Linked DNA regions of Oreochromis niloticus. The protein of the gene in region 1 purifies or fractionates together with the protein of each later gene. This does not show direct contact. Links are inferred from orthologs where the notes say so. Each region holds a gene or a part of one and is shown on either strand. Other genes may lie near its edges.

Region 1 (7,477 bases):
TGCAGAGTGTAGAACAAGCATACAGCAGCCTGACTTACAGAGTAGGTGAGGTCTAAATTTATATGGTCTGCACTGCCAGACTGTTCCCTCTGTCTGACCAGGGCTCGCTCCTTCCGCCCTGCCTCTTTGGCTTTTTCAAGGGCCTGTAGACACAGACACACCCACACAAACACACACAGCAAGTAAGCCACTTCTGGGTAATAATCAGAAATAATTATGAATACACACTCTGCTGCAATGATGTAACAAGTTTTTCCTGCCCATTAGACATTCTGGTGCCGACCAAAAAGGCCTTGGCCCTTCACAAGACGAAAATCACCTGTAATAACAATATTTTTAAAAAGAGTTTTTTTTAAAGTTTTCAGAAATCACAGCAAACAGCACACTGCTGTTATGTGTGCCTATACAATATGTAGACCAATTTTCCCCATGTATGAAAAACCACTGGAAATGGGAAGGTTGATAAACTTCAAGTACTTTGTCCTAACAGCCGTTTTAGGTATCACTCTGGTAGAAATGTAAGCAGTTTTTATACACATCACTTTGAGAGAGCTGACACAGTTAAAAAGGAATTATGGCGAACTGCCCCACGTGGAGAGCCTTCTCTTTAAATCCAGACAGTCAACATTAGTAAAAAATTTGTTAAAGAGGGACAGGCTGACCACTTGTAAGGCTCCCATGCTCTGTGCCATGCAGCTCTCCTCTATCAGGTCATTCACTTTCTTCTCCAAGATTTTGATCTTCTCCTCAGGCCTGCAAGAACATGATGCAGAAAAAAAGAGAGTGAAACGTTTGTGAGCTTATAATAGCTGATAATAAGAGGCCCAAGGTGTGCCAAGAAAATATCCCCCACATCGTTACACCACCACTCCCAGCCTGAACCACTGGTGCGAAGAAGGATGGCGAAATGTTTTCGTGTTCGTTATGCCAAATTCTGACCGTACAATAAGAATTCCACAAGCAATGTTTTTTTCTATTTTTCTATTCTATTAGTTTCGGTGATCCTCTGAACTGTAGCCTCAGTTTCCTGTATTACCTAACAGGAGTGTCGCATGGCGTGGTCTTCTGCTGATGTAGCCCGTCTGCTTTAAAGTTTGATGTGTTGTGCATTCAGAGATGCACTTCTGCATACTTTGATTGTAAAGAGTGGTTGTCTGAGTAACTGTTGCCTTCCTATCAGCTCAAAGCAGCATCAACACAATTTCAACCAGACAACTGCAGCTCCCAACAGATCTGCAGTTTTTAAAACACTCAAACCAGGCTGTTTCACACAAACAGTCATGCCCCGTTCAAAGTAATATAAATCACATTCCTTTTCCGGATGCCAGGTTTCAACCTCAGCAGGTCATCTTGACCATGTTTATGTGCCTAAATTTACTGAGTTGCTGACATAAGACAGGCAGATTAGATATTTGCATCAGAGAGCAGTTGAACAGGCATACCTAATGAAGTTGCAGAGTGAGTGTACTGCATAGCATTTTCACACTGAAACAAAGCAGTCTAAAGTGATAACTTACGTATCCTCATTCTTTGCTTCGAGTGCAGGTGCAGGACCTCTGGACTGGCCCAGAGGGTCAAAGGCTGAGCCTGAAAATATAAATCATACCATTTCATCACTATATCACTGCAAGGGGAAAGACACAAAGCTTGCATATTTAAATCTGTCCTTATAAGAATGGAAAGAGGTTTATATTAACAAAAAAATGCTAATTTTTTATTTTTTAGATTTTTATGTTAGAGACACTCAACTGTACCTATTCCTGAAGTATACAATAATAACTTTTTAATCATTATCGACACGCAAAAGAAAATAGATGAAACAGACAACTTCTTTAAACTCACCCCGACTCAGGGCGGAGGTGTAACCTGCTGCTCTGACGGCAGTCATTGGTCGGGCTGACCCATCCTGGTACATTTGCAAATAACAAAAAATACATATATAGTAAACTCTAATTATAAAAAAATAATCTAACATAAACTATGCAAGACCTTATGTGCACATTCGATTATTTAATAATAATTCTCACCTGTACAGCTCCAGTCATGGGTCGTCCCATTGAAGAGGCCATATGAAGCCGAGCCTTTGTGAAACAATAAGTATCAATATTGTAATCAATAACAATAATTTTGGTCTTTTTAACATTTAGATATGAACAAAAACATTCCACATAAATGCTTCACGGTAATGAAACAATCACCATCATTGGCTGCACATCTTGTCACCTATCAGTGATTTAATCTGAGCAACTTTCATCACAGAACTGTACTTTGAAGGAGGTATCTGTATTTGTTGTGATCATTCAAAAATGTTTCACTTTTAAAGGATCATTCTATTTCTTTGTACTTACGCCAAAAGAAGTAGCTAAAGATCGAGGTCCAATGGGAGTGCCAGGAAACTTGGCAGTCATCTAGAAAATTAAAGACATGATATATTAGTAGTTAAACGATTTATACACCTCCAGTAAGCCTCTCCCTCTCTCTCCCACTTACTTACTTACTCACTCACTCACACAAACGCGCACAAACAAACAAACAAACAAACACACACACACACACACACACACACACACACACACAGTATTTGGCACTTACCGGGGGTCTTCTTCCATGACTTGTCCTCACTGCTTGCTGGAAGCCCACATCATTCTCCAGCTCCTTAAAATTGGACAACAATTAGTCTTCATTTTTTAAATAGTGGGCGGACAGAAGAGCAGACATTTTTCACACAAACAATTTTGAAATAAAACTGAAGTAATTTGTCTTTCGTCATGCCACTATCTCAATCTCATATAACCAACATTCATTTTTCAAAGTTGCTTTCTATACGCTTAGAAACAATGTACTAATGTAGTGTTAGGTTAGTGGTTAACTTACCTCCGAGTCAAATGTCGGATTATAATCATTGTAACCCGAGTAAAGGTCGTCCTCCTCTACAGCCAGATGCACATGTTCCATTTCTGTTTCTCCGGAAAGGTAGTATATGAAAATATTCCTCAATGTGTGGCAAACAAACAGTTTTCTATGCGAGATAACTGGTAATATTTTGTTGTCCTTTTAGGATTTCATCCCACAATTCAACGCGGCACGGGCGGGACAGTTTCCTTTTCAAACCTCTGATTGGTTTTTCACGCGTCCATCATCGTCTGGCCTCAACCTAATTGGTTGAAGTTGCGCTCATTCGTTGCTAGGATACACTACAACGCTACAACCTATTTCTTCTTCATATTCTCATATTTATTTTTAAATACTTACATACATTGTATTTATTATTTATAAAAAGTTACAATTAATAGTTTATGGGGTTCTTTACTGCTCATTTCAAGGAAAACATGCTTTTTGCGCTCGTTTGCCTCCTTTGGTCCTTCTAGGTCACCGTACAGCACGGTCAGCGTGACTACGGTGACTATCAAGGGGGGCGGCGCAACAGAAATTAATAGAAATGCTGTAAGTTAAGTTTTAGCTGGTCTCGTAACATCTAAAAATGAGCGCTGCTGACATGAAGATTATCACTGTGATTGGCAGGTGAGCGAGATAACAATGTATTTTGCGTTGTAAAATGATGCAACCATGCTAGCCCTCACCTGTATTCATGAAGTTGAAACGAAAGTTGCTTTGTTGAATGAAAAACTGGTTGAAAGCTAGTTTGCAGTATCAGTGCATGTAATTTTATTTTGGTTACTGCATTGTGTGCATCATCCTGTTGCTAACGACATAAACAGGACTGTTCTGAATGAACGCTTGTCTTGTGTTTTCAGTCAGAATGAATTTGTGAAGAATCCTGTTTATTACAGACACGTAACGATAGCTACAGCGTGAAGGTTTATAGCTGTGTGATTTTAGAGGTTTTAAATTGAACCTGTCTTCTGAACCCTGTTCATTAAACATGGCAGTCCCTCTGAAGTGACCTCTCTTAAACTTGCAAAGCAAACACTGAACCTCACAGTTCTTCACTTATGTTGCCATACGTTTTAGGGGGTAATCTTTGTGTGTTAACATTGCAATAATATTCAGATGGGTGGCAAAGGGATTGATAAAACATTCATAGTGAATTTACACTTCACTTCTGGTTACATGTCAAAACATGAGAGGAAGACAGGAAAATGAAGCTGGTGTCAGCAAGCAGACAGGCACACTGTCAGCACTTTACTGCTGTGTGATTTTAATGGACTTTACTGAAAAACAACATTCAGCCCTTGCTTTGATTTTGTTTTTTAAGTCTGCTTATTGGGGTTTATGTTTTATGTCTCTTACCGTGCGATTTTCTTCCCTGTTTTAGTGGGCTGATAGGCCGCTCCTGGGCTATGCTGTTTGTCAGTGGAGGCTACAATGTGAAGATCTATGACAACCAACCAGGACAGTCTGCCAGGGCCATCGCAGAGATCAAGTGAGTCCTACTGCTCAACTTAAAGACCCATCTGGGTTACACAGACAAACTTCCTCAGTCTTAACTGCATTATTATACCTCTATAGTCAACAGAAATTTGTTTTAACCCAGATGTAATTCTTAGTAAAAACAAAAAAGCACATATATATCATCATAAATATATAAATATAGATTACAGAAGCTAAACTAGTGTCTGGTGCCTGCAAAACCTAAAGGAAACATTGACACTAGGGGCTTCTCTGCCCTGATGAGTTAGAGACACCCTATCTAAAATGTAACCTGTTCTTCCTTTCAGTGTTTACAGAGAAGACATATATGAATACTGCATGATCAGCAGTTGGCTCCTACTGTGAGCACACATGAATAAACACATGTTCACAGCCTGGCTATTAGTGGTTAAACATTACTGTGGAATGACGCAGAGTTTTTAATGAAAGTGCTGTAGAAAGTCACAGTGCCTTTAAGCTATAAAAACCTTAATACCTTAATCTCTATACCAGTATTTCATGAATGTGAGTCTCCCTCTGAGTACATGCCACTGCCTATCACTCAGCCCGTTAGAGACGTATTTGTTTATATGAACAGTAGAGGGTGTCATTGAATTAAATTTCAGGGGCCCTTTGTGAATGATTTCCTGCTGAACAAGCTAGACTGCTATCTGTTGTGTGCCCTGTTTTCATAAACCGTCACTTAGTCTAAATTACTTTAATTTTTTTCAAACCAAGATATCTTCCTGACTCATGTGATACAGTGTTATGTAACTGCCACATGCTGTATCACCACTCCATATACAGGGCAAATTATAAAGAGATGTTGAAGAAGCAGGTTGATAGGCTGGAGTAAGAGCAAAAAGGTGGTGGTATGTACTCCACACCCTAAAAGTGCCATCAGTGTTACTGTTAAGACAGCATAACAGGATTTGCAGCAGACTACACGGTCTCCTTTGAAACCTGCACCTCATTTTAGCTCAGACTCTGATTAATAGGTTGTCCGACCGATCTATAAACCAGAATCTTTATTGTTTTATTATTCTTTTCTGCATGAAAGACCAGAGTAAAAAACTTATGCCTCATTAGAGAAATTTGCACAATAGTGCAATACAATACATACTTTCATACAGTAAGACGGTGAAGTTGGTGACATAATCTACCCCCACTGAAACTGTGTTGAGTGTCTAAATCTTCTGTGCTGCTGAGATGGAAATGTGCACAGAGCAGACACTTTAGAATCTCTAGCTTCTTTGTAGCAGCATCCATATTTGAAGCGTTGTCTGCTTTGTGTTATATCAGAACCACTTCTTTTGGCTGATAATAACACACCTAACACATCTGTTCATTTCTTCCAAAGTCTTCAGTCTACTACATTCTACTACTACTTATATATGAAGCCTGTGGTAATGATTCTTTTCTAATTGAAAATGTCATGATAGAGGGCAGTTTGTTTGTGCATTGTGTGTGTGTGTGTGTGTGTGTTAACTGCAGTTTCTGTCCCTCAGGAAACAGCTGGTGGAGCTGGAGGAAGCCCACATGCTGCGAGGGGAGCTGTCTGCTGCGCAGCAACTTGCCCTTCTGAGCAGTTATGATGACCTGTCTCAGGCGCTGGATGGAGCCTTCTTTGTGCAGGTAACACAGATCGCTGACAACACAAACACATGCTGTTATATCTCTTTGGCCTACATAGAAAAACCAGTGGAAACAACATTGCTCTCTGTTGATTTGTTTATTTTTCTGTTAGCCACTTGCTCCATCACACATGTGACCGGACATTTGTTTTGTGGATGTTGGCAGACTTTGATGAAACACGGGGCTTCTCTCCACTGGTGTGGGTCTTTTCAAAAGTATGTGGTGTGTGACTCAGTGGAAACAATGTAGTTTTTGTTCATTTATTGGTTCACATAGTTTAAACAAAGCAGCATTAAAGGAATGGTTACTACACTCTCAGGTCAATACGTTCTGGCTTTGTTATTACACATTTACCCCCCAAGGAAGTGCAGCATAATTTTATTTGACATATTCCGTCACATTCTCACGTCACATTTTGAACTTAGACTAATATCCCTGTTGTACATTGGGTTGTGATATCATATAGTAATATGGAGATGTTTTGCATAATAACACTTCAGTTCCTTCAGTTGCTTAACACGTAAATTACAAACTTTTTTCCATCCATCCATCCATCTTCTTCCGCTTATCCGGGGCCGGGTCGCAGGGGCAGCAGCCCAAACAGAGAAGCCCAGACCTCCCTCTCCCCAGCCACCTCCTCCAGCTTGTCCGGGGGAACACCCAGGCGTTCCCAGACCAGCCAAGAGATATAATCTCTCCAGTGTGTCCTGGGTCTGCCCCGGGGCCTCCTCATGGTGGGACATGCCCGGAACACCTCACCCAGGAGGCGCACAGGAGGCATCCTTGTCAGATGCCCGAACCACTGGCATCTGGCTCCTTTCGATGTGGAGGAGCAGCGGCTCTACTCTGAGCCCCTCCCGGATGGCTGAACTTCTCACCCTATCTCTAAGGGAGAGTCCAGCCACCCTTTGAAGGAAGCCCATTTCCGCTGCTTTTATCCGCGATCTCGTTCTTTCGGTCACTACCCACAGCTCGTGACCATAGGTGAGGGTAGGGACGTAGATCGACCGGTAAATTGAGAGGATCACTTTTACACTCAGCTCTCTCTTCACCACAACAGACCGATACAGCGTCCGCATCACTGCAGCCGCAGCACCAATCCGTCTGTCAATCTCCCGCTCCCTTCTCCCGTCACTCGTGAACAAGACCCCGAGATATTTAAACTCCTCCACTTGGGGCAGGAACTTGTCCCGGACCTGGAGTGGGCACTCCACCCTTTTCTGGCTGACGACCATGGCCTCAGATTTGGAGGTGCTGATTCTCATTCCCACCGCTTCACACTCGGCTGTGAACCGTTCCAAGGCGAGCTGGAGGCCAGCCAGAGAAACAAAAAAGTGCAAACTTTTTTGTTTCTCTTAATTTACTAGTATAGCTTCATAGTATATCAGTGGTAAGTACATTACTGGACCAAAAAACTCATACATTTACTTGTCCTTATGGGGAAATGTGATTGCATTGTGATTTCAGAGTC
Region 2 (7,041 bases), on another chromosome or scaffold:
GTAAATAAAAGATGAATACATTGATTTGCAAATCTCATAAACCCTCATTTTTTCACAAAAGAACACAGAAAACACATCAGATATTTAAACTGAGAAAAAAACACAAGGTCATTTTGAATTTGATGGCAGAAATACATCTCAAAAAAAGTTGGGACGGAGCCAACAAAAGCTTGGAACAGCAAGTGATACTAAAAAGAGACAGAGGAACATTTTGTAGCCAGTCAGGTTAACGGGCAACAGGTCAATAACATGACTGGGTATAAAAAGAATATCTCTGTTTAAAAAGATTCAGGACATCTGAAGAAATCTCTGTGCGCAAGGGACAAATAAATACAGGCTGAAAACAGATGGATACCCTTGATCTTTAGGCCCTCAGGCAGCACTGAAAAACAGGCATGATTATGTCATAGAAATCACTGCATGATTTTAGGAACACTTCCGGTCTGTTACTACAATTCAATCTACCATCCATTCAACTCAGGTTAAAGCTCCATCACGCAAAGTAAAGGCCATACATGAACACGATCCAGAAATGTTGGCTCATTTAAAATTGACTGAGGTAAGGTGGAAAAGTATTTGGAAATTCAGTTCATCAAATTTTACAGATGGACCCAACGTTTATAGAACTGGACATGCATGTTTGCCCTAAGGTGCACACAGCCTCCATACCATTGTAGCTGTCCACTGTCACAGTGCCAATGTTTGTAGGTTCAGGGAAGTGAATGATGAACTCTTGAGGAAACATCCCAGTGGACATCCAAAACGTTTTAGTGTTTCTGAGTGATAAGAAAGACAGAAAATCATGACATTTTACCATTGATGAGATCTGTTTAAATCACATTTTGATATCAACTTTTGTTGTGCAGATATACAATATTGCGCAAAAAATCTTCTTCCTATTTTGCTGCCATGTAGCCAGACTTTCCGGAAATATCAAAAATGTTAGCTAAAGCAATAGTCCTACTGCTTTTCCAGTCATTTGCACAATCATGTGACTCATTCAAGCAAAAAATACAGCACGTAATTCAAGACACCTAAATCTCTCTCGCGCCATCCGACAAGCAAAGCGTGCACATGCACAAAAGATCCAGAGCCACTTCCACAACGTGGAACGCGTGCTGAGATACTCCGCTGATCAGCTGGCCGATGACTACAGAGACATCTTCAACTCATCACTGAGCCTGATGATCATCCCAGCGTGCTTCAAGTCCACCATCATCATCCCGGTAGAGCAACCTCCCCTGCTCACTGGACCCGCCACAGTTTGCATACTGGCCAAACAGGTCGACCAAGGATGCTATTTCCACTGCACTTCACCTCTCCCTCTCCCACCTGGGCAAGAAAGACAACTATGTCAGAATGCTGTTCATGCTGCTGAGCACCTCTCTCTGCAACTGGATACTAGATTTCCTGTCAGAGAGGCCTCAGTCCGTCTGAATCGGCGACAACATCTCCAGCACCATCAGGCTGAGCACAGGAGCTCCTCAGGGCTGTGTTCTCAGCCCTCTGTTGTTCACCCTCCTGACACACGACTGGACTGCCCTACACAGCTCTAACCACATCATCAAGTTCACCGACTACACACCCGTGGTTGGACTCATCAGCAGCAACGACGAGTCAGTGCACAAAGATGAGGTTCAGCAGCTGGCGTTCTGGTGCAGTGAAAACAACCTGTCACTGAATGTGGACAAAACCAAGGAGATGATCATCGACTTCAGGAAGACTCGCTCCACTCACACACCACTCAGCATCAACGGTTCCACAGTAGAGACTGTTAACAGCACCAGGTTCCTGGGAGTTCACATCTCAGACAACCTCACCTGGACCACCAACACCACCTCCATCACCAAAAAGGCCCAGCAGCGCCTCCAATTCCTGAGACGCCTGAAGCGGGCTAACCTCCCTGGTCCCACCCTCACCATGTTCTACAGGGGCGCCATAGAGAGTGTTCTGAACACCTGCATCCCCGTGTGGTTTGGAAACTGCAAAGTCGGTGACCTCAGCCAGCTACATCTGATCGTCAAAGCAGCTGCAAAGATCATTGGAACATCTCTCCCTCTGCTACAGGACATCTTTCACAAACGCTGCATCAGTAAGGCCTCCTGCATCGTGCGTGACCCCTCACACCCCTCACACGGACTCTTTTCCCTCCTCTCATCCGGCAGACGCTATCGCAGCATCCTCCAGACTGCGAGACAGCTTTTTCCCACAAACCATCAAACTCCTGAACTCACTACCAGCTCCCCCACTCCACCCCATCACACACACCCACACAAACCACTAACTGACTCTACCGGACTCCACATACCACTGCCTTTGTAAATACAGATGCTGCTCTATGGACAGTCCTACTCTCAGGAATCCTCCTCATGTTAGTCCCTTTATTTCACAGTGTAAACTGTAAAGCTGCTACGTTGGTCATTTTAAACCACTTAAATATCAATTGTAAAATGTAAATTTTAGACTGTTATTAACCCTTTTACCTCAAAGTGTATATTTACTCCCCTTACCTCAGTCTCAAAGTGTATATATATTTATTCTTTCTATTCTTACTCTTCCTACATTTCTTGTTGTTCTTTTGCACTTTATGGAACTGGAGCCTCGTCGTCTCGTCTCTCTATGTACTGAACTGTATTTAGCAGAGATGACAATAAAGTTTTGACTTTAAAGGGACGAACCAGTGTTATGTCAACACAACAGACAGCTTAGCAAAGAAGCAATTTTAAGTTGCATCTTCAGGCACCTTTTAGTAGCAACTTGTAGCAAAATCACATAATTTGTTTCGTTTTGTTTAAATGAATATATGAAAATTGACAAAGATAAAACTGCTGAGATAACCACGGCTTAAGAACCAGCACTCACCCGTCGATAATGCTTTCTGGTGGGTGATTTTCATCGCTGGATGCAGCGAGGACAACTTTCGCACCTAAAGAAGTTAAAGAGGACTCAATCATCGCACAGAAAAGGTTATAGTCTCCGAGGCTTTCTGGTTTTTCTATAACAGGACACAACAAATGCTTGTTTACAGATTCTTAAGGGGGGAAAGTCGTCAATTGCCGTTGCCAAGCCAACCACTGCGTCGCAAGATATAGACGTCGCAATGTTGTACGTCACAATTTCCGACGCACGCTGCTAGTTAGATGTTTAGGAGTTAGCGGCTAGCACTGGATATAGCAATTGTTCACATGGCGAACGGATGCGAAGAAGTGCTTTTTACGCGCGGAACTGGACAGGCGAGTTATAATGCACTATTAAGCGGAGGAACATGACTTATATGACGCTTCTATGCTGTCTGTGCAGTTGTTTGAGGCGGTGAGCTATATAGCTAAAAGCTACAAACCAACGTTGAGTTAGGCTAACTTAAGATATGAGAAAAGGAATAAAAGAAGTCAAGCCGGAAATAAACAATATACCAGATGTTCTTCAATAAACAAAACGTGGCTTTATTGGAATATACCGTTGTGGATAAACGTTACAAAAAATGCTTTACAAAGTAGTTTTAGGTTGAGTTGCAACAGTTTACAGGAGACAAAGGTGTACTGTACAATAACCCTAAGATCCTTTGCATCCTGACTCTGTTTTTGCATGCACTGCTTGTAAGATGCTTCATTATAATTGTGGATTTAAGACTGATTTAAAAATAATAATAATAATTCAGCAACATTTAATGTGCTCGTCTTTTTGTGTGTTGTTTATCCTTTTTCCACGAAAGAAATTGATTAATTATTCATCATAAATTAAGTGTTTTAATGTCTTTCTGCTCTTCAGCACACCATCTTTTACTATTTAGTGAATTATTTTGACACAACAAATAAATATTGGCTGCAAATGTCATCTGGTTTGCAGGTATTATTTATTATTTTTAAATCACTTAATGTTTAGCCATTATTTATGTATACCCATCAAAAATACATGTTCGTTTTGTAAAGACTCCAAATTTGTTGTTCTCTTCCAGAGTGATGATTCAGACATCTGGGATGACACCGCACTGATAAAGGCTTATGACAAGGCAGTTGCATCTTTCAAGGTAACTTGGGATTATTGCAGTATGTGTGAATGTGAAATGTTGTTTGTGACTTTAAAGTCTCTTCCTGATTTGCGTATTAGACTGCCCTTAAGGGTGAAGATGAGCCACAAGTCTCAAAGAAAAACCAACCAGGAAAGAAACGCAAGAACAACAAGAAGAACCAGAGTAGGAAAAGAAACAATGCACCACCAGAAAAAGAGGTGAGGAACTGGAACTAAAGCTACAGATACATTTGAAGGGGAAAAGGTGTTAAATATTTACACATGATGTTTACAAAGTTGTCAGAGGTATCAAACTGGAGAGTACATTTTAACATAAGTCAGTTTAGATTCTGTGTTTCAAATCAGTGGTCGAAATGTGTCTTTCATTTACAGTTTCTACAGTTATGGTCAGAAGTTTAACTACACTTATCACAGGCATGAATGTCATCATAATTTGAGGATTTTAATAATTTCTTTTAACTGTTCTTTTTACTTTGTGGAGTGATTGCACAGCATACATCCTAAATGGGTTTTAAAATCAAGAATTTGGTGGACAACAAATTTTTGGGAGGTGGATTTTCTCTAATCCACACAGGGTGAAAAGTATAAATACGGGCTCAAATATATACATACATTCACTTAAATATTTTAGTAAGTGGTGCTGAAGGTTCAACAATGACTTAGAACTTGGCAAGGCCTGTTAACTTGTCATTAGTGATCATGATTGACTAAATCTAATAGTTTCTCTGCCATCATAAATAGGATTTGCATGGCAGCAGTTATTGGATTGACCAGTGCTTGTTACAATAGGAAACGCCAGGCTATTCTATGAAGGTCTAAGAAGGAGAATCGTACATTTATACGGGTTGGGATGGTCTTGGAGCTGTCCCTAAACAACTTCAGATTTTAAGATAATCAGTTTAAACAATTGTAAGCAAGTAACAGTTACTTGCACACGTGACCTCTTATCCAAGGTCTCAAAGAAGACCCAATCTGTTACATCCTCAGATTAAAGGAAATTGGTTAGGATGTTCAGGAACAACCCAGGAACCGCTGAGGCTCAAGTCTGCCATGAACTGGAAACTGCTGCAGCATCAGTGTCACTGTACACAGTGAAGCCAGTTTTGCATCACTGTGAAGTGGAAGGGTGCCAACCAAGAAAGAAGCACCTGCACCAAAAGATTTTCAAGCCTGCCTGAAATTTGCAGCAGCCCACATGGACAAGCCAAATGTCTTCTGTAGAAAAGTTTTACGATCAGACAAGACAAAGGTGTAGCTATTTGTCCACAATGACAAGAAGTATGTTTGGAGCAGTAAATATTAGGCTTTGAAACATAATTTCACCTCAAATCAGTCATTGGAAAACTGTTCCAACAGGACATTGTTCCCAAACACACATCAAAACTGGATTTAGAATGGATAAAGCAGGCTAACATTAAGCTTTTGGAATTACCTTCCCAAAGCCCGACCTCACCCCCATTAAAATTTGTGGACTTTGCTTAAAACCTGGGTTTGTGCTGGAAGCCAACAAATTTAAATGAACTCTATTAGTTCTGGCGAGAAGAATGATCAAATATTTAACCAGAAATACACCAGAAGCTTGTTGATGGTTACCAAAAGCCATCTGGTGGAGGCGCGACTTGCTCAGGGACATTTAACGCGTTATTCGGAGTATATGTGTATATGCCTTATGTATACTTTTGATCCCATAGAAATTTAATTTAAACTTGTGCACCTCTTCTGCACCATGTTACCATGACATTCATGCCCATGATGAGTATTTTTTCTGACCACAACTGTACCCTGTTGGTAATTCTGAGACATTCAAAAACAGCGTTGTTTACACATGTTGACGCTTTCACTTTAATTACAGTTTATGTTGTGTCACAGTGGCAGGTTGGGGACTCATGCAGTGCTTACTGGTCCGAGGATGGCCAGCTCTATGCAGCCACGATTGCCTCCATAGACAAGAAGAGAGGCACTTGTATAGTTGTTTATACAGGCTATGGCAACGAGGAGGAGCAGAATCTTGAAGACCTGCTGTCAGAGTTTTCGGAGGGTGATGAGGAATCAAATACCAAGGTAAACTAGTGCAAATAAATGCATTCACATAACAGCAGCACAATACAAATAACAATTCAGTTATTAGAAAATGGTAGTATTGTTCCCTGACACAATTTGCACATAGTTTTTACCTTCATTATTCACATATGCACATCATGAATTTTAAAATAACAAAACTAACATTGTGACCAAATCAGGCTTAAATAATTGGCAAGCAATCCATTGTCATTTGGGTTTTTTAATAGGCCACAACTTAATGAATATAACAGTCGAAATTTCGGCAGTTGGCGTCAAAGACCAAAAAATATGAAATTATTATTAATTACTCCACCCAATATTTATCAAATGGTGAGTCATGGAAATCACTGCCGATTAACAGATTGCTTTCTCAGTCTATTAAAACTTAGGACCAAGTATGGATGGATGGGTTAGCTCTTTCTGCTTTTGTCTGGATCATTTCTTACTGCTTCCCAAACAAATTCAGATAGGTTTATGGATTTCTCTGTATTTGTTCCCAATGATATGAAAATGGGGAGAAAGATCAAAGCAGTATGTCTTTGCTATCCATAGGTGCATGAAGTAGAATCTTCAACAGAGGAGAGTGACAGGTCAGCTACTCCAAACCAGCACAAACAGTCACCTAATAAGGGCCACAAGTCCAAGACCCACAAAGAATCACCTCCTATGTGGGCTCCTGGTTTTCCTGGATTTCCTCCAGTACCACCTCCCATGCGTGCTTTCAGACAGGTAAGAAGAAAGGCTCTTTAGGGAGCTGATTCATTATTAGTCTAACAACAAAATTACTTTCATGCATACTACTCCTCTTATTTTTGTTTTTAAATTGTGATTAAATCAGTTTCAGGTGTTAATTAAATTCCCGATAGGAGGTTGAATGTTTGTTGTAGTCAGAAAGATGAAATGTGAGCAAAGTGTTTGTAATCTGAACAATAAAGATAGAATATGAACATT
Region 3 (7,917 bases), on another chromosome or scaffold:
GAGTAAATAACTTGCTCGCTCCAGCTCCTACAACCAAATACAAACAGTGGGGGGAGAGGGTTAGCTCAACCCATCACAACTTCCAAGCTAGCCATAATTATATATTCGTGCTAGCATTAATGGCGCCTAAAACACATTTATGGCACACACGTACTACACATTTATAGCGTCTAACAAAAAACAGGCATAATGATGACAATAATTGAACTAAAATCACTATCAGAAACATCAGGGTGCCTAAATATGAATTATATGTGTGTTGTACACGGTCTGGAAAGAAATGACAGCCACCTCTCCCACGGGGGAATTGTAGAAAACGGGAGAGACCAAAGGGGTACACTGTATTTATAGGGTTGCACCAACGAAGAAGAACAATGAGAAGGGGCTCTAACCGATAATGAATATAACTACAGGCTTGAAGGTCCTCACAGTCAGGTATAAAGAACACAGTTTGTGTAATTATAACAATATGTAATCTATGACTGGGTTACACTCACAGAGTTTACTTTATTAGTTACATATGTAAATATTTAAGAAAAATTGTGTATGTTTCTGTTCTGTGTCCTGTTTGTTTGTATATGTGTCTTTTTGGCTGCTGTTACAACCAAATTTCCCCTTGTGGGACAATTAAAGGATTATTCTATTCTATTCTATTCTATTCTACATATAATATATATGGGCATCTTTGAGTAACATAGACGGTTTTTGCAGGCTCAGGACTTTACAGATGTTCAGACAGTGACCTTGTTCTGAGCAGCTGGTTTATTACAGTGTTTATCAAGGACCTTCATCTGGTTCCTGAAGTATTCAGGCTGCTGCAGGTGGCACAGGTTCACAGTGAAAGTAAGCTTAGGTTAGATGAAGCTCGAAAGCTGTGTTTTTACAAAGAGCTTGAACATGGCTTTTATTTCAGTGGACAAACAGAAAACAAATTGAGGAAATAAACAAAAGCAGAGCAACAGGTTCTCAGCACAAAAGAGTCGAACATCTGGCACATCTGGGGTTAGTTTTCAGTTCCTGAACAGACTTTTGTGACCCTCTGGATGTCGTACTTCCAGCCACTAAGCTCTGCGTGTGAAGTGCTGCGAGTCTCTGAACTCCAGGTAGAGGCTGAAGAGCAGGTGCAGGGACTGGACGTGGCTGCCATAAACGGGGATGTCGAGCAGGCCACACACGATGTCCGCATACTGCGGCAGGTCACAGTTCAGGCGGGCGGACGGCAGCTGCAGGCGGTCCAGCAGCTCCTCCAGCTCGGTTGGCCACTCCTGCATCAAGCTGTCGATGTCAGGCATCGGTCGGCTGTACTGGACGCTCGCTGGCGGCTTGGAGCGGTGCAGCGCGCTGATGCTCTCCACCCAGCTGTCCACTGCCCGCAGGTTGCTCTGAGGGTTGGCAATGCTCGTCACCTTCTTCACCTGCAGGAGAGGAAACAATGAGGAGTGACTCTGACTTTAATGCTGAGTGTGTGTGTGTACAGGTGTGTGTGTGTGTGTACCTCGGTGGCGCCGTGCTGCTTGGTCTCCTCCGACAGAAACAGCGACAGCACCGTCGGGTCCGACTGCTTCACGCTGGGCTCATCCAGAACCAGCAGCCCCAGGTTGTCCGGTTTGTCATCGGGCCTCGGCACCTGTGGGATTACAACATGAGGTCACTCTGAGGTCAGAGGTTGCGCTTTCTGTGCTATCAGGTGTGATTGTGTTCGAACCTTGAGGAAGGCGTCAATGTCTCCCACCGCGGGGATGAAGTCCGGGATAAATGGCTTCAGGTTGTGCTCCAGCTCAACAGACTCGGGGGTGTATCTGAGACAAAACATGGAAGCACTCCAGATGTGTGCGTGACAACTACGTGATTTACTGCAGGGCTTAACAATATAAAGTGCTTTGTGGTGACTGTTGTTGTGATTCGGTGCTTTATCAATAAACTTTGATAAGGTTTTTTTTAGCAGAAACAAGCACCAGATGGTGTTAAAAAACATGAGTTGGCACGTGTGTCTCTGCTCACCGTGTGATGTACTGGAACAGCTCTTTGATGTCGGTGCTGACAGGCAGGCTGGCGTAGTCGGCGGGATCATACAGGCCCTCCGGCGCCTTGTGGAGCTTGCTGTCCTCCTCCGACTCGTCATCTTCGGAGTCGTCGTCGTCGTCGTCATCATCTTCTTCGTCATCATCCTCTTCTTCCTCTTCTGGCCGCCCCCCTGCCGGCTCCTTCCCCCTCCCGTGGTCCTCGTCAAACTCGTCGCTGCTGCTGTGGGCCGACATCAGGCTGTGAACCCTCCTGCTGCTCCTCCTGAACTCCACCTGAAAGACGAAGGAACAAAACCAGGACCTGAGACCAACCTGGAGCATGGCAGGAGTGACTCAGCTTACAGTTCAACTCTGATGGAAGGAAACTTTATTTACTGTTTTAATAAAAACTAGGGTTTAAAACATGATGCTCACAACTTAACATCACCGGATTCACTCTTCTGTCATTTCTACACAGCTTCTTATATGAGACGAGTTTGTGACTGGAAACACTTTGAGCTTTAAATAAAGAAGAAACACGAGCAGGCGTCACGATCACCGGTTAAACCGGAGCTCTCCGCAAGGACAGGAGGAGATTACCTGGGGCTGGCTGCGCGGAGTCGGGCTGTACACGCTCGGTACCTCCTCGGCGTCCGCCACATCCAGGCTCTCGTCGTACGGCTGGTTCTTCAGCAGGCGGCCTCCTCTGTCCCGGTCAGCCCGCTCCATCGGAGTCCGGCGGGTCAGCTGCGGGCGGACACAGTAAAACCTCCATCAGAAACAACGGTTTACAGTAGCATTAGCCGCCTAGCAGCAGACAGCTAACAAGAAGCCGACACCGGCGGTTTTAAGCCGGTTAACCCACCTGAGACAGCACACACTCGGCATACAGAGACAAACGACCTGCCGGCAGAGCTAAATTCAAATCCGATAAATGTTTTAAATGTCTTACTTGACGTCTGAGTTCAAGCCAAACTCGCTTTTCGGCGTCAAAATGGCCTTTGTGGAATGTTACGTATCCTGGCAACGGGACGGGAAGGGCATCATGGGTAGTGTAGTTAGAATCAAATGAGAGCAGAAGCTCCAGCTGCAAGGCATATTATATTATATTATATTATATTATATTATATTATATTATATTATATTATATAGAATAAAAAATAAGTGCTTTAAAGTAACTGGAAGAAAATGAAACAGTGGTGCATTTATTATTGGATGGATGGCTGAGGTTCCTCTAAATCTGGAGACTGAATGACTGAAATAAAAACAAATAAATAAAAATGTTAACAAAACCATTTTAAATCCAAAAAAATCAAATCTTTTTAAAAAGAAAAACTATTGAGGCTCATTGTCATCAATATATTTCTGATGAACACACAGGGAAAGGTTTCCTGAAGTGTGAAGTGACGATATTTATTCATCTGTTCTCAATAACAAAGGGTTTACACAAACAAGGCCGTCCACAGCTGTTTGTGGGGTGCCGACTCCTCTTAATAAAGGTACTTGAGTTATTTTGTTATTGCGGTGCTGTGGATGTTTTCCACCTACCTGAAACAATTCAGGTTTCCTGGCAGCTTTTCACAGTCTCTCAGGAGAGTTTTTAAAGATGAACGAAAACAGCAAATAATCATAAAATAATATTTCAGGGCTTTGGTTTTAGTTGTGCATTATTCTTTTTTCATGCTATCTTTTGTCTTTTATCCTTGTCTCATCTGGTGCTGTTTAAATCCTATATTAAATGAAATTGATGTTTCTCATAAATCAGCACTGGCATTGATGATTATAAAATCCTGAGGCAAAAACGATTCTTTCATTAAACTTTATTAAAGCGTTTGGGTCATTGCAGATTTCCTTTCGAGGTCGTTACATTTTGATGATCTTGATTTTATGTTGGTTGGAAGTCACAGCTGTGCAACCTGTATGTGTCACCACCACTCAACATCATCCTCATCGTTTAGTGCACCTTTATTCTTCAGTTATGCTGAACAGGTTTTTACTCCAGAAAACAAGAGGCACTCGCGCCCTGAGGACACGTTCCCAGATAGTTACCACCTCATAAGCTGTTATTTGGTTCAGAAGTCAATTAAGAAAACCTTTATTTAGAGAGCACATCTTAATCCGGGTGCAAATACAAATTGTGAAACCCTGATAGGTTTGTAGCTTGAACCTATTCGCTGGAACGTCGAGGACAATGTAATTACACAGCAAGCAAGACTCGAGTAGGCAAGTTCTTTATGTTTCACGTGCACGGGAGAGAACTGGACAGGTGCCGTTCCTTCGCTTGACCCCAGTTGCTCTCGTCCGCTCTCCCGTAACACTGCTCTTTTATTGTGGTTACATGAATATGCATAGGTTCATTAACATATGACCTCTTATATAGGTATACATGTGAACAAAGAATACCCTGTGTGTGTGTGTGTGTGTGTGTGTGTGTGTGTGTGTGTGACTCCCCAAAGCTGGTGCCAGGAGTCTAGCGGTCCATCTAAACAAAAGGCTCTTAAACTCAAACAGAGTCTAAGAGCCACAGATATACGTGTGTTTGCTATACCATATATCAGCAAGAGAAAATACGACCTCTCCTAGGAGGCGTGTGATCTATGCCACAACACTCTGAAGAGGAGTGAACGCACTCCCCTCTTCATGCTACACAGAGTTGTTACAGACCTCCTGGGATGAGACATTCTTTCAATCTACAAATGATTATATACTTCTAAGCATATATGAGTAAATATTTCTAGGCATAAATGACAATAAACAATACAAAAACCTAACACCCCACATGTAAAGCCTCACAGTAAAGCCATGAATTAAAAAAAAATCAGAACAGCAAACATGAAGAAAAGAACACAAGAAAAAAAAACAGTAACAAAAAGACCTAAAACTAAATCCTTCCATCCATCCATTCGCTTCCGCTTATCCTTTTCAGGGTCGCAGGGGGTGCTGGAGCCTATTCCAGCTGTCATAGGGGAAGAGGCGGTGTACACCCTGGACAGGTCGCCAGTCTGTTGCAGGGCCAACGCACATAGACAGACAACCATTCACACTCACATTCACTCCAGCATTCACACCTGTGGGCAATTTAGATTTTTCAGTTAACCTATCCCCACAAAGTGCATGTCTTTGGATGGTGGGAGGAAGCCGGAGTACCAGGGGAGAACCCACACAAACACGGGGAGAACATGCAAACTCCACACAAAAAGACCCCGGCCTGATGGTGGAATTGAACTCAGGACCTTCTAACCCCCATGTTGCCAAAAATCCCTAAACAACAAAATAAAATTGAAAATATAATGCAGCAGAAAACGATTAGAACGATAAACTTAAAATAAGAAAAGGAGTAGGAATTAAATCAGTTAAGATCAACATCAGTTCACTAAACAGGCCTCACAAGAGTGTTTCAGTCATTTCTTTATCAAGCTGATAAAATTGTGGTTGAAAAACATTAGCAAATATTTGGCAGAAAAAAAACAGGGCTGGGTATCTGATTTCTATAATTGATTTGATTCGATTCAATTTTGACTCAGACAGAAAGATTATAATTCGGATCATTTATCTGTACATATCCATATTTTTATGTCTGTGTATAAAATAAAATCTGACACTAGTGAGATTTCATCACAGGTGTAAACATCACAGCAGATGCCTTTGTGTCAAAGTTAAGCTGGACATACAATTTATGGCCCATTTTGAGACGATTTTTCACTCCTGCGACTGTTTTGGAGATCGACTCTTTATAAATCTGACTTTTCCTTTTGTTTTACTTAGTGCTGTCAGCATCAACTCGCTAACGGAGATTTGGGGAGTTTCACCTTAATCGTGTGTCATGCATCATGTAGTATACATGGGGTAATGAGAAGCGATTAACACCTCACGACCAGCTCCCAGTCAGCAATTGTACGGTCACATGGTTGCCACTCGTGAGGGCACACTATAGATGCGATGCGAAGAGCCAATTTAACGCAACATCTCACACTCCGCATGTGCAAATACAGAAAACGAAGTGAAAAAGATGAATCAGTGCAGTGTGTGATCTGGACGCAAGCAGCGGACTTGTAGAACTTTGGCAAGCCCATCCAAGCCTTTTTGATGTGGGCTTAGAAAATTATCATTGCATCCGCGAAAGAAGTAGGATGGACATTGCTGCTCAATTGCAGCTGTGTTGTAAGTCAGTGTTTTTTATTAGCATTTTAGTTGATGTTGTTGGTGGTGTGTGTCTGTGTGAGTGAAAGACAGAGAGGGAGAGAGAGGAAGAGCAAGAGACAGATTTTGTGTTATATCTTAGCTATATAATATAAGCTTTGGTAACACTTCATGTTACCAAGCTAAAATTTGGATGCACAGTGTGAGCACTCAGGTCGCAGAGCTGAGCATCGGGCTGTATAGTGTGAGACCCTGCATCGTGACCTACGAACTTCTAACCCCTGCGATTCAGTCACTTTGAGCAGGAGCTGAATAACGTGACTGAAAAAAAATTGCACAGTGTATGCCCAGCTTAACTGGGGATAAAACACAGAAAAACATAAAAGTGATTTTCCTGGCCTGGCTTTTTATAGCAGACAACCTTAAAAATATTCTGCAATACAATAAAAACGAAAGAAAATCAACATATGACCTGATGTTGCTGAAGTGAAGCAGAGTAATGTTACAGAGGTTTTATTAGAGACACAGCAATTTGTAATTTGGCATAATCTTTTTTTTTTTTTTTAAGTGTACATTTCTTCAGTACAGAAAAGCAGAAATTAGGCTTTCTTGTCGGAATTTTTGAAGAAAAAAAGGTTCTGATCTTCTTTTCTGCTGGTTCAGTGAATTTTGGTCGGAGAATAATGAAACCTGCAGAGAATCTGCGAGATGTCGGCTTTCAGCTCCAACGGCGAGTTCGTGTAGCTTGGTGAGATTCTGATGCATCAGGTCTGCATTTTGTGCTGAATCTGTTTACCTGCTCTCATTTGCCGTTTTAGCTGTTTGGCGTTTGTTGAAATAGTTTTATGAGTTTTAATCTGAGATTCTGGCATTTTTGGATTTAATGAATTGATATTTAAAAAAAAGGATTTTAATCATTTCTCAAAGAAACAACTTCATATCCTTCATACTATCTGCTTGAGCTGGACTGAGGTCAGTTTTGACATTAGACAGTGAGTCTGAAGGTCGTGGCCACAAGCCAGTTCTTATTGCCCCTGCTACAGGGGCAAAAGCTTAAACAAAAACACAGGGTGGGTGTTGATTCTCAGCCTCAGATTTCATTTGCATTGCTCTCTTGACCTGTTTGTCTCTCCACCTGTGACCAAGGTTGTGATTGTACAGAAGACTTCGATCAGGGAACACGTCCCCGCAGCGTCTGCACGGGTACCCTGTGTGAGAGAGTTGATGCTCCTTCAGGCTGCGTTGCCAAACAAATGTTTTCCCGCACGTTTCGCACCAGAACGGTCTCTCTCCAGTGTGCACACGCATGTGGTGGGTTAGAGTGGACCGATTAGAAAAGGTTTTGTTGCACTTGTCGCACCAGTATGGCTTCTCTCCAGTGTGGCTACGGCGGTGGCTCTTTAAGGCCCCCAGCTGTGCAAAGGTTTTGTCACACAGGTCACAGCTATATGGTTTCTCTCCAGTGTGCACCCGTTGATGGCCCCTGAGGGCGCTGGACTCCGTAAACCGTTTGCCACATTCTTTACAAACATAGGGTTTCTCTCCAGTGTGAACACGGAGATGCTTTTTCAGTGTACTCGAAACTGCGAAGGCTGCGCCACACTCTTCACAGCTGTAGGGTTTCTCTCCTGTGTGGATGCGCTGGTGGATTTGTAGAGCGCCTAAAGTGTTGAAAGCTGCTCCACACTCGTCACAGCTGTGCGGTCTCTCTCCGGTGTGAATTCTATGGTGAAGCTTTAAATTGTGTTTGGATTTATAGGTCTTGTTGCAGTCC

Evidence for each region.
Region 2: the proteins of ift88 (region 1) and hspb11 purify together in Homo sapiens (affinity purification with mass spectrometry; 3 studies listed by BioGRID and IntAct, with this or other methods). This does not show direct contact. The link is inferred for Oreochromis niloticus from reciprocal best matches to the Homo sapiens genes IFT88 and IFT25.
Region 3: the proteins of ift88 (region 1) and ift46 purify together in Homo sapiens (affinity purification with mass spectrometry; 3 studies listed by BioGRID and IntAct, with this or other methods). This does not show direct contact. The link is inferred for Oreochromis niloticus from reciprocal best matches to the Homo sapiens genes IFT88 and IFT46.

The regions. Positions count from the first base shown.
Region 1 is NC_031987.2:27,525,323-27,532,799, reverse strand, and holds the start of ift88 (intraflagellar transport protein 88 homolog), read right to left. Parts: upstream 3,164-7,477; 5' UTR 2,956-3,163; coding exon 2,875-2,955; intron 2,656-2,874; coding exon 2,593-2,655; intron 2,409-2,592; coding exon 2,349-2,408; intron 2,082-2,348; coding exon 2,028-2,081; intron 1,907-2,027; coding exon 1,843-1,906; intron 1,588-1,842; coding exon 1,518-1,587; intron 754-1,517; coding exon 663-753; intron 144-662; coding exon 39-143; intron 1-38. Other genes in the region: cryl1 (lambda-crystallin homolog), read left to right, coding at 3,482-3,522, 4,277-4,384, 5,880-6,006. UniProt on the Homo sapiens protein: Positively regulates primary cilium biogenesis. Also involved in autophagy since it is required for trafficking of ATG16L and the expansion of the autophagic compartment.
Region 2 is NC_031977.2:14,352,004-14,359,044, forward strand, and holds the start of hspb11 (intraflagellar transport protein 25 homolog), read right to left. Parts: upstream 3,079-7,041; 5' UTR 2,955-3,078; coding exon 2,863-2,954; intron 777-2,862; coding exon 670-776; intron 1-669. Other genes in the region: smn1 (survival motor neuron protein 1), read left to right, coding at 3,186-3,233, 3,956-4,027, 4,108-4,227, 5,899-6,090, 6,643-6,819. UniProt on the Homo sapiens protein: Component of the IFT complex B required for sonic hedgehog/SHH signaling.
Region 3 is NC_031967.2:75,493,296-75,501,212, reverse strand, and holds ift46 (intraflagellar transport protein 46 homolog), read right to left. Parts: upstream 3,077-7,917; 5' UTR 2,956-3,076; exon of another isoform or gene 2,869-2,955; intron 2,751-2,868; 5' UTR 2,733-2,750; coding exon 2,604-2,732; intron 2,298-2,603; coding exon 2,002-2,297; intron 1,800-2,001; coding exon 1,706-1,799; intron 1,628-1,705; coding exon 1,496-1,627; intron 1,416-1,495; coding exon 1,062-1,415; 3' UTR 191-1,061; downstream 1-190. Other genes in the region: gastrula zinc finger protein XlCGF49.1-like, read right to left, coding at 7,197-7,917. UniProt on the Homo sapiens protein: Forms part of a complex involved in intraflagellar transport (IFT), the bi-directional movement of particles required for the assembly, maintenance and functioning of primary cilia. May play a role in chondrocyte maturation and skeletogenesis.